3 linked regions of the Ovis aries genome follow. The protein of the gene in region 3 purifies or fractionates together with the protein of the main gene of each other region. This does not show direct contact. Links are inferred from orthologs where the notes say so. Each region holds a gene or a part of one and is shown on either strand. Other genes may lie near its edges. The genes, in order: FBXW7, MYCBP2 and FBXO45.

Region 1 (4,316 bases), on a different chromosome or scaffold from region 3:
AGCTAGATTTTAGAAGTTCTTTTTTTAAATCCTATAAGAAACTTAAACTGATAGTACTTCACATTTTCCATGTAACATGCTCTTTCGATGAATAGCTGTGTAGCAGCAGCACGGGAAAAGCAGGGTTCTTGGCAATCCCAGCTCAATTGCATCTGCAGATGAGGATTTAAAATTCTGTGCAGCAGACAGTACCTCCAGCAGGCGAGTAAAAGGTTACTGCATTATTTGCTTGTTTGTTTTCACAGCCTTTATCTACAAAAGGTTTTGTAAAGATGCAGTGTGAAGTGCATGCCTGGTTTTCGACATTCTGGAAATTGATTTAAGTTTACATGAATTTCAAAAGGGCAGTGCAAGGTGAAGGAAGAGGCGATGCTAGCTCTTTTTAGATTTAAACCAAAGAAACTGAGCATGAGACATACGCAAATAAAGAACCTACAGAAAATAGGAAGTTTTTTAATGCTTTTTTAAAAACATTAAAAAAATTTTAAATACATTTTACAATTTTAAAATACATTTTTAATACAAGATATTTTTTTTAGTTCTTAGACTTCTTCCTCAAAAAGAATGCTGTTAACAAAGACTGATAATTGTGGGTCTATGAATGTTCATGAAGTTACATTTGTTTTGAAGTCTAATTGTTTGGGAAGAAACTATAATTTTTTATCAATGTAACCCTCTCTTCTCCTGGAAATTATAAGGTGGATTATAATAACATGATGTGTGTATATATATATATATATATCTTTATATATTATTGGCAAAAAATCCTAGAGGATGGCTAACATACTTAACAGTGTTTATGTTTTCAGGGTGGTTTGTGTTTTTTCAATCTTTTTAATGAGATGCAGATAAACAGGTGGGAGAAGATTTAGTATCAAAGCAACCAGGTTTTTGGTGGCTTATCATCTATTATCAATACCTGTCTATAAAGTCACCCACCCTTTCCTTCTCATTTTAACTCTTCTGACATTTATGATGGCAGGGACCTCCTTGGATTCTCTTTCTTAGTTGCTCTATCCTTATCGACACGACTGTCTTTGATATAGTATTTTATTGCTCCGTAATTCTCAAGTTCAAGTGCAGTATTGAGAAGGAATTTTTTTACTTTGGCTATCAACCACCATCCTGCTCTCTTCAAGCCATACTCAGAGATTATTATTAGCTACTGTCTAAATTTTGTTTAAAAAATAGTTATGCCTATGTCTTTTTTCTTTTAGATTGAATAACAAGATTGAAAACAATCCTATAAATTAATCTACAATATAGAAGTAAAATCAGCTGTTATTCTTACTTTGAGCGTTTGGCAGGCTTCCTGAATTGTAGAGTCAGAAAGGGTCAGCAGTTCTGATTGGTAAGTTAAAGAATCCGTCCAGTAATTTGCTCCCTGTTGTTTCTCAAAGCAATGCAGCAGCAGTTCTTTTCCAGATATTGAGCGGTTCTTGAACTGAGTGTATGGGGACAAGCAAGGGTGGGGCTCATTCCTGTTGGTTGTTGAGACAGTGGGCATTTACAGAGGGAACAGGTTGGATAGGCTGAGCCGGAGGAGTAGGCAAACAGATCTAAACTGATGGAAGACAGAAAGAGTGGTTAGTATAATTTGGGGATATTTTATCTTGAGTTTGCTCCTTTATTAAGTACTTGGGCTTTAATATAAAATAGTTTGAAATATTAAAGCACCTTACCTTCTTTCTAAGGAGTAGCCGGGAGACTTCTGTTTTTAATATTGAGTTCTTCTTGACAATGAGTTTGTGGCTGGTATCTTCTGTAGGGAAGCTATTGTTTTATTCTTTTTTTTTAACAGTGTTTCTTTCAGCCTGAGGGCTGCAGAATGAGGCAGTTAGCCAGTTTTGAGTATACATGGGACATTACTAGTTCTGAATTTTTAAGTTAAATTCTTGTCTGATGAACAAGTCAATGTGTGGCTGTGGCTGCAGCGTTGTTTCTTCCTTAATGAAGAGGTTGAGCCGTTCGACCTGCTGCTCCGATCTGTTCTCTGGTAGCCATACATCAGACCAGTTGCAGAGATTATCCACCGAATGTCCTAGACAACCAAAGGTAACTACATAGATTTATTTCAAATAAAAATATGCAATTAAAATTGATGCCTTATAACTAGGACCAAATAATTAAAAATAAAAGATCAATTAAAGATGTTCTTCGCAGTTTTCTTGACCTTGCAGTAGCTATCCAATATCATTTTGTCATCATCAGATTGTGTAGCAATGGAAATGCACTGCAGTAATTGATTTTGTAATAGGATCAGGTGATTTACTAGCTGCACTGACAACCACTTGCTTGCTCGCTCTGAGCAGTAGAGCTCTCTAATGGATGTTGTGATTGCAGCCCGGAGTTGCTGGGAGACTGCTGGCCACTTAAAGCAGCAGCATGTCTTTTTAAAAATGAATAGTGAATTTTTCTTTTTTCTTTCCTGTGCTTTAAGTTTTGGGTGAGCTCAGTAAATTTTATACTTAGTTTGAGTGCCCCCATGAAATGTTAGAGATTAGGTGTTATTTCATCCATCAATTCATCAAAAGTAGCCTTGAATATGATGAAATATAATCTCTGCTCCCTACTCCTAGTTGAGCGTCAACATATGTATCAACATACTTTGGTGTTGATCGTGAGAACACATCTCTAAACTATAACAATTTATGTTAACCTGTGTCATCTAAGTGAAACAGAATATTCTTCACATATGTACATTTCACCAGCTTCAAACTCTAGCTATAATTGTGATACTGGCATTGTGGTGAGTCCTTGTACTGGGGGTTTGTTAGAGCTGTCTATTCTTTTCTGGTCTTCTGCTTTCTTAGTGTTCTCATAGATGTAACAACATTTAGAAAATCGAGTTGGACCAATTCTAAGGAATGTTGATGGAAACATAGACGCTATTTTAAAGTAGTGTTTAAGAATATAAGTATTTAAAAACCTGTTATCCACGATTATGAATTTTCAGTGATTATAGTTTAATAATCTTTATTTTCATCTTTTATGCATTTTAAAACAATTGATTATAAATATAGAAGTATAAGACTAAAGCTTAAAATAGAACTAGTGTTCTGTAAAAGACTTTCAGAAACTGGTGCCTAAGATTTTGACGACTTTAAAGTTCTGCTTAGGGCTTTACATGAGGAAGGAAAATTATCTCCCCTCTCTACATTCCTCACCAACTCCTCTACTTGTTTAACTATCTAACATATGAAGTATTTTGTACAGAACTTGATATATAAAAGTGCTGAATTCTCTTTCCTTCCCTAATTTACATTATTTAACCATGTATTTGTTTTTGCCATGATAGAGATGCTATTTCTTTCAACCACATCTAAAACATTTACATTAATTAATCAGTGTTAGTAATTTGCTATAGAAGAAATTGAGCATAAAATTGCCATTGTATATTATAGTCAGACCTCCCTGGGAAGGCAGCTTTTCTTTGTAATGTACTTAAATACTTGCCCTTGAAAGATGAAAATATTTCCAGTATCACTCTGCACTTTTCCTAAGTCCAGATACTTAAAAGTTTAATTATAGAAGATGGTAATATAATTTAAACACTAGAGTTTATAATCTTTTATTATTCAATGGTAACAAGTTTATTGCCCCCTGCCCCCTCCCCCCCAAAACCTCTATGAACACTGATAACATGAGGATAAGGGTGTGAATATCATATGAGATTTCATCAAAGATAATGTTGAAATTTCATATATATTGAAATGTTGAATGGTAGATTACCAACAAATCAGTCATTGATATAAGTTTCACTGAAGTGGTGTACATTTAAATAGGAGGGAAGGAAGTCAATACCGAAAGTGTTGACTACTTTTTTAGAAGATTGGTGATAACAGATAGGAGAGAAGTGTGCTTTGTAATTCAGCAGTATTTCATGTGAAATAAATAGGTAATTCAGTTGGTGAGGTTCTAACCCTAGTGGAACTGCCTTTTATTAGAGCTCTAGATCAACCATTAAAAGACTTGGATTTAATCAGACTCCTGTCACTGATCTACTTGATGACTTTAATCAGTTTATACTCGAACATTTTTAAGGTTCCTTAAGCATGCTTCTAAAATGTCCACTAAAAAGAAATCAATGTACTCATTCCAGTGTGAGGTATTATAATACTTGACCTGGAAGCAAGTTGAAGTTAGGAGGAAGGATGAAATTTCTTAAGCAGGTTTTAGGTGATATTAATGTTTTTCATGTTTTTTTGATGGCGGGGGAGCATGAGGAGAGGGACACTTTTATCTTCTCGAAATTCAATATTCTAGATAATTACCCTCGTTTTTAAAAGAACAAATTTGGGATTCATTTCTAGAGC
Region 2 (3,649 bases), on a different chromosome or scaffold from region 3:
TTAAAAGGTACAATGCTTATAAACAGTACCGAGCTTTTGTTTTTTTCTATCTATTCTGACAGCTTTTTTAAATTGAGGATTTAGTCTTCTACTTTTTTACTGTAGAAATATAAATGAGATCCATAAATCACAGCTACAGAGGTATAAATGTGGCTGGAACCCAGGCTTCCAGGGCCCACAGTCAACGCTTTTCCATGATACAGGCTGCCTCCTATAAAACTAAAGTCTCTTCTAGCCAAACTTTTTGACTTTCAGGTCCAGGCACAATCTCATTTTCATTCTCTGTGCCTTACAGTAATGCTGTGAAGTAGATGGCCCTTCTCTATAATAATGTTGCCTTCTTCATCTTATATTGCACTGTACAGTATATATCTTCCAACTGAGTGCTTTGTGTGTGACAGTGATGGCTAGTGAGAAACCAGAATTGATTGACAGTGTTTCTGGAGACAGAGAACTTTCATTCAGCATAGTTAGTATGTTGCTCATAGCTCTGAATTGGTATTCTTGCCTTTAGGTTATATAATCTGTGAATGACCTCATGTAAATTATGGTATTACCTGAAGAGAGTTCGACTCTGCTATAAAAATATGGACAAATAAAAAACCAAGAGTCTCACTCACTTGTTCTGCATTTTCTTTGTTTGTTTTGTTTTCCTCATCCTCTTCTTCCTCTGGTTCCACTGGAGCAGGAGTCAGAGACGCCACGAAATGCCACAGAACATCATGGAGAGAAGTGGTCTGGATGACGTTACACAGAAGCCAGTTGAAAGCCTGCACGAAAGAGAAAGTGAAACTCGCTCAGTCGTGTCTGACTCTTTGCGACCCCATGGACTATATAGTCCATGGAATTTCCAGGCCAGAATATTAGAATGGGTAGCCTTTCCCTTCTCCAGGGAATCTTCCCAACCCAGGTCTCCTGCATCACAGCTGGAATCTTAAACCAGCTGAGCCACAAGGGAAGCCTGAAAGCCTGAATAAACAATGTTAAATAAGTCCAAGATAAAGAGAACCTTCTGGGACTCAAGTATTTTATGGGAAGACTCTAGGAAGACTGATTGTCATTTCACTGAAAGTATACTGAACTTACACTGTCAATAATTCTGGCCCTAATTTAAAAATTAATAGTAGGGAATATAATACCTATGAAATGCAATTCAAAAATACTTTTCCAAACTACTTTTCATTTCAAAAATTTGTCTGAATATTAATTTACACAAGCACATTTTTTCCAACTTGCATTTAGAATCAACATGCATTTAGAATGTTTCTTAAGTTCTACACAAGCTGCTACTTACTTAAATATAGATTCATGTGGTTCCCACTGATGAATATCATGAGTACTTTCTACTCCATGATAAAGAAAAAAGATTTGTTATAGATACAAGTCTATGATATACAGTGATCCATTTTCAGAGAACAGAGACCCAGATAAATTATCTTCGTTAAATTTATAATTCAAAAGCCCTACTTCGGATCCCTTTTGCATGATTACTCTAACTGAAATGACACTGTGATTATAAAAAGCTTTTTTAAGAAGATATTGTCACGATTCAGATAATAAAGCAATGTAGAAATGATGTTTTTCAGAGTGCTTAACTATGAAACTCAAATTCATTTATATTCCTAAACCTAGGAGTTTAATTTTGTTGCAAACACAGTATTTTCTATTCACTGAGGTCTCTTAATTTGTCACAATTTCTGTTCAGTAGAAAACTGACATCATTAAACAGAACCATCATATGAAGCTTATGATTAATGAATTAATAATCCTATTCATGTATTCTTACCTCCATAGCAAAAACTCGACAAGCAGATTTCCTTAAAGCTTGTTTCATTGCTATTTCCAGACCTTCTAGATCATGATGCTGTATAACAAAGGCTAAGACTGGCCACTGGAAGTTCCGTTCTCCTTTGGAGAGGGAGCTGTGGGCTGAGATGAGCCGGGACAGCTCGGGAGATGGATGCCTCAAGAGCGAAGAACCCACTTCTGTTTGAAGGAAAAAAAAAAGTATCAATTTTCATAGGCAACACATATTAATATATTTAAAGTGATTTCAAAAAACAGTATCCAGCTTATTCACTTAAGTGTCTTTGGGGGTTTTTTTGTTTTTGCATTTGACACAAATCTTAATGATTTCAATTTTTTACTGAAGCTCAGATTTAAATATCTTACTTAAAAGTTATATACCTATTAATTTTCAAAGGTAAGTTTTGAACCCAGGTCTGAAAGTTCACACTTTCTGTAACACTATACAAAATGTGACTTATTTTCTCCCCAAATGGAATCCCCAGCATTTTCTAAAGGACTGCTTTGTAACAAATGGTATTTCATTAAGAGCCCAAAGATACTTGTTGAATATATCCTCAATATTTTCCTAGAAGATCTTCAACAAGATATATAATCATCTACCTAAAAATATTAGGTCAGATCTTCGTTTAATAAGTAGTTGGCCTGATAACCACTAACATGTTATCCTTTGCTTCTTGGATTTCTTTCTTTATTCTTAAGACAGGATTAATTAGCCTCAATTTGGGGCTGCCAATACTAATTAGTCCAGATTATCTAAAATTTTTCACTGATTACGAGCTAGCCGTATCTCCAGTTTTTATTATCTGTTTGAGTGATAGTACTTACAAGAGTTAATAAGTTTCTATTGAGAATATCATTGTGAAAGTGTCAAGTCACTGGAACTGCTGATTTACTGAAGCTTAGTGGGAGGGATAATGGTAGCAATATTCAGCTTAGATACCTAACAAGTAGTATATTTTAAAGATCCGTTTATTCTTGAATAATAGTGCATGATGTCTGGGTGTCTCTTCCAACTAAGATGTAAAATTTAGAGAGGCACATTTATGGCTGTGTCACACAGAAGGAATGTTTAACCACGATTTAAAATTAATCCATTCCTCTGCCTTCAAAAATTAGATTTAAAAAATCTACAAATAAAATCATTAGGATCACTCAATCTTCTTTTTCATCTTTATACTTACCAGTATCTCCACTGTTAACTCTTCTTCGAGGAATGGCTTTAACTCGTGCAGGTAAGATGGAGTGCTGTTTATCATATTCAGAAGCAACAACGGAGTAGGATCTTTGGAAGACAGTTCTCTTTGCGAGATCAGTATCAGTTATGGGACTAGTTTCCAAACTGCAGATAGAACAAGGTGACAGATAACTCAGGAGAAAAAGGGAATGATGTTGACACTGTATTTACTTAGTTTTTAACAGCGTAGTCAAATGTGTGAACCATGTGGAAGAATACAAATTCAAAGCCAACTTGACAATATCTCTTTAAGCCATAACTGGATCTTTCCAAATGTAATCACATTTTGACTGATTTCAGAACTGCATCTTAAAACTTTTGCTTCTCTTAAATCTACTTTGCATTTTAAATGAAAAAGAAGAAAAGGCATCAAATATTCTAAGCTTCTCTCAGAAGCAAAAGCACTGGTGGAAGACACATGTCATGATATTCAGGAAAAAAAGGCAGATATCTTCATAACAGCACCGAATACGAACAATGAAAATATATACACGAGGAAACCTAATAAGAGGGAAAACGAAAGGATATAATTTTCCTCTGGTTCTGAATGTTCTATGAGGTTTCTCATTCTCTGGAGGTGCTACCCAAAGCTCTATCTGGAGCATG
Region 3 (4,158 bases):
TAAGTCAACTTTTCCTCACACATTTCAGTTTTCCAAAGTGAGTGGTTGAAGGGCTGTGGCACTGACACTAATAAGAAAGAAAAGAATCTGGGCGACTAAGCTTGGAGGAAAAAACATCTAGGAAGAAGGGACTGGCAAGTAGTAATCAAACACCACTTACCAGAGAGTAGAGATGGTAGGTGCTGTTCTTTTGTTTTTACTAGAAAACAAGAAATGGATTATTCACAGCAGGAGAGCTTTCGAAAAGATTCCTTACTACATAAAGGAAAGACTGGAATTAACTGGTGGAATTAACTACTAAGGGAATCTGTGAACCCTATTATTTTAACAATTACTTCGCAGTGTTGCTTTGAGAGTTATATAAACTCTCCCGTAAAGGGCCCCAGTAGATTGCCTGTCTTACATGATGGTTATTATTTTCTCTTACCGAGCATTCTTTAAAGGCTGTCGGAAAACGTTCTGGCCACCTAGGAAAACTAGTATGACTAAATAATGCTGAAATTATTTCCCTTCCAAATAGTGTTCTTAATTATAGCCTCCATGTCATTCTCCCTACTAGAATGACTAGTTAAAAACACACCTCAATTCGCCTACTAACCGGTGGGTTAGTAGGAAAGACTGGGAAAGGCCATATTTTGTCCAAAATAATGTAGCCCTTAAAGAGCGCTTTAAGGTTACCCAAACATGGGAGGGGGGCGGCAGGTGTTCAAATGTAGCGACCTCTCACGCTACATACAGGACTAAGGGAGAACAAGAGGGCCTGACCAGGAAAACACGACCTCAGCTGCCGAAGGAAAAGGAAGATCTAACTCAAACTCAAGGTGGCGGAGCTAGGACTGGCTAGTAAGGAGAGGGAAGTTTCCTGTGTTAGGGTGGAATGGTCCAACAGGAACGCAAATGACTCAGGTAAACCTTATAGGAAAAGGGGACCAAAAAAGCCGACGCGAGGCCACTAGATCAAAAAGGGGAAAAGACGGAGAACAGCCCGAAACCCACCCGCGCCAACCTCATACCTGCGCTTCCCGCTTCCCACCGAGGCGCCTGGCGATGACCTCACCGACGGGCGCCCAATCCCATCTAGCGTAGGGCGGGAGGCGCCGCAGCCAAATAGTCACATCCGGGGCCGAGAGGAACCGCGCGAGCTGGGCGTGCGTCCTTGCTTCGTGCCCTCAACCCGCATGGCGGAGCCACGGGCGCGCCGCGGGGAGGCCGTACTAGTCGGGCGGTTCCGGCGACCGCGCTGAGCCGCGGGGGAGGGGCGGGGGACGCCCGTGCAGTCGGTGCGTCTGCCCTCAGTGAGGCGGGGCGCGCGGCGGACGCCCCCGGGCAGGGGCGGGAGTGGTTTGGAGGGGCCGGGCGGTTAGCTGTGAAAGGGGCGGTGAGCGAGCTGCTCCGGTCTCAAGGCGAGGCTTGGCCTCTGGAGCAGAGACGGGGGGAAGCGGCGGCGGCGGCGGCGGCCCTCGGGCCGGCTGGTGAGGCGATGGCGGCGCCGGCCCCGGGGGCTGGGGCAGCTTCGGGCGGCGCTGGCTGTAGTGGCGGCGGCGCGGGCGCCGGCTCGGGCTCTGGGGCCGGGGGCCGGTTGCCCAGCCGGGTGCTGGAGTTGGTGTTCTCCTACCTGGAGCTGTCCGAGCTGCGGAGCTGCGCCCTGGTGTGCAAGCACTGGTACCGCTGCCTGCACGGCGATGAGAACAGCGAGGTGTGGCGGAGCCTGTGCGCCCGCAGCCTGGCAGAGGAGGCTCTGCGCACGGACATCCTCTGCAACCTGCCCAGCTACAAGGCCAAGGTGAGGGAGCCCCGCGCCACGCCGCTGCCCCCTGTCCCGCTTCTCCGCGCAGCTCTCAGTGTTTCTCAGCTAAGCTTCTGAGTCAGAAGCGCTTTCCCACCGCTCCAGTCAGTACCTTACCTCGCCTCCCCCGCCATAAAGATCTCTTTGGGTTGAAGTTCTGCTCCTTAACCCACCCCACTTCCGTGATGTACTTTTTAAAGGATCAGATGGTTTTCCATCCTTGATTTCCATCATTCATTCTACTTTCCACCGTCTGTTCCCTTAAAAACAGGCCATTGTTTTAGCTTTCAATACTCTAATCCTGTTTTTCTCTCTGTCCTTTATTAGATCATCTCGGCTGCCTTATTGACTTAGTTTCTAAGATTTTTGCTTTCAGCTCACGTTTTCCAAGCTCTGATTTATAACTGTTTTATTTTTGCCCAAGTACCTTAAATTCCCTCCGCTATGTTACAGGCTTATAAATAAGTGTGGTCCAAGGCATCTGCTAACTTTAAAGATAAAGGCTTTGAATAGAACATCGTACCATTGGCGCCACTTAACAGTCGTAATATTGCCATGTCCCACTATTACTGGCTATTGCCTTGCCAACTTTTTCATAGTTCCACCTTGCTGGTGTGTCTCTTATGTTCTGTTTGTCATCCAACATGCCGTTTCCATTTTTGGTGCCTTCCCCCCCCCCCCCCCGCCCTCTGCCAGACTCTTGTGCTTAGTCTTGCTTTCATATACAAATAAAAATGTCAAGTAACAGATCTTAGTAGGACTGAGAGCATTCCTCAAGCAATATAAACAAATGGCTGTAAACTTGAGTTCAGTTTGGATGGATACAGCTATTTAGGATTGCAGTCACCAAGAGTATACATGAGAGAGGATAAAGTCTGATCTAGAATATGGTAAACATAAAAATACATTAACAACTAAAAAAGGGAAAACATATCTTTTTAATGCTAGACTGCCAGTGGGGCCAGAGTAAGTAAATTTTCATGGAAAAAATTTTTTCCATGTGAAATAAATGTAAAAGTGGTCTTCTGTAGTAAAATAGGTTTCAGTTTAGTAAGGTTAGGATAAGGATTACTACTTTTAAATATGTCAAATTGTTTATTAAGTGAAATAACATGTTGAGTTGCAAGGACAGTTAGTAGATGCTCGATGGATAATAATTGTAATTCATATTAGTAGAGGGCAGAAGATTGTTTTGTCTTACTGTGCCTAATAAACATATAGGTTTCATGAATCTTATTTAGTTTTTATTTTTCCATAAAGTTTATTATTTTTACTTATTTTAAATTAAGACATTTTTGTAGTTGGCCTGTAATAGACATGTTCACATGATTCAAGATTCATGTAGTAATATGTAATAAATAATGTATTCATGTGAGTCAGTGTTGAAGCAAAGTGATCTAAAAGCAAAATGTCTTCCTTTAGTCCTTATACCCCCACCATCCAGATTGGAGGCAGCCTATGTTACCTGTTTTTCTGTATCCTTGCAGAGGCTTATAAATTTTAATACTTTGTATGCCTTTGTACTACTGGAACTGTAGGTATTATAGACTTGTGCATTCAGATGTTGCAGGACTTTTCTTGAATATCTTGAAGATAAAAGATTAATTCAAAAGGATATACATAGCCTAGTAGGAAAGTCCTCAGTCTAGGAGAAGAGGAAAAAACAATGTATAGAAATAACTAGTGGTTATTAGTTAGAAACTAGAATTTTAGTGAAAGAGATTCACAAGTTGAGTGAACAGCTTTAGAAGGGTTGAGATTGAGATTGTATTTGAGCTGAATTTTTAAAATGGGGAGAATATGAACATTTTACTAAGAGGAAATACCCTGAACAAAAAGCAAGACAGTGGAAGGCAGAGGATTTGAATAGTATATATTTTTATTAAAAAAAAAGATGAATGTTAGGTACTATGCTCAGTTTTGCAGATGCAATGCTGAATAAAAACAAATACAAATGCTTATGGATGCTTTGTGATTTGTGATGAGTCCTATGAAGGTTAGATCCATGGTGCTCTGAATGTTAATAGTGGAGAATTTGACCTAAGTAGTGAGGTCAGGAAAGGCTTTCTCTGAGAAAATAACACTGAGACCCAGGAAAAAAAAAAAAAAAAGGATAAATAGGCCAGAGAAAGAGAGAAGAGCCTTCCAGGAGGGAACCTGGTGAGTATGAGTGACAGAAGATAATCAGTGTGGCTGGACCACAGAGAGCAAAATTGAGGCAAGTTTGATAAAGATGAAGAGGTGGACTGGAGCCAAGCAAAAGGAAGCCATTTTAAATTGTAAGTGAAGGACAGTTAGGAGTATGGGGGTTGGTGATGTGATAGTTTTACATTTTTAGGAGGTTATTGTGACTTAAGAATGGACAACCAATT

The links.
Region 1: the proteins of FBXO45 (region 3) and FBXW7 purify together in Homo sapiens (affinity purification with mass spectrometry; 4 studies listed by BioGRID and IntAct, counting the BioPlex papers as one, with this or other methods). This does not show direct contact. The link is inferred for Ovis aries from reciprocal best matches to the Homo sapiens genes FBXO45 and FBXW7.
Region 2: the proteins of FBXO45 (region 3) and MYCBP2 purify together in Homo sapiens (affinity purification with western blotting; 7 studies listed by BioGRID and IntAct, with this or other methods). This does not show direct contact. The link is inferred for Ovis aries from reciprocal best matches to the Homo sapiens genes FBXO45 and MYCBP2.

The regions. Positions count from the first base shown.
Region 1 is NC_056070.1:5,397,648-5,401,963, forward strand, and holds the start of FBXW7 (F-box/WD repeat-containing protein 7), read left to right. Parts: upstream 1-1,423; 5' UTR 1,424-2,055; intron 2,056-4,316. UniProt on the Homo sapiens protein: Substrate recognition component of a SCF (SKP1-CUL1-F-box protein) E3 ubiquitin-protein ligase complex which mediates the ubiquitination and subsequent proteasomal degradation of target proteins.
Region 2 is NC_056063.1:52,794,754-52,798,402, forward strand, and holds part of MYCBP2 (E3 ubiquitin-protein ligase MYCBP2), read right to left. Parts: intron 3,149-3,649; coding exon 2,991-3,148; intron 1,987-2,990; coding exon 1,787-1,986; intron 771-1,786; coding exon 621-770; intron 1-620. UniProt on the Homo sapiens protein: Atypical E3 ubiquitin-protein ligase which specifically mediates ubiquitination of threonine and serine residues on target proteins, instead of ubiquitinating lysine residues.
Region 3 is NC_056054.1:191,912,562-191,916,719, forward strand, and holds the start of FBXO45 (F-box/SPRY domain-containing protein 1), read left to right. Parts: upstream 1-1,328; 5' UTR 1,329-1,480; coding exon 1,481-1,783; intron 1,784-4,158. UniProt on the Homo sapiens protein: Component of E3 ubiquitin ligase complex consisting of FBXO45, MYCBP2 and SKP1. Functions in substrate recognition but also plays an important role in assembly of the complex.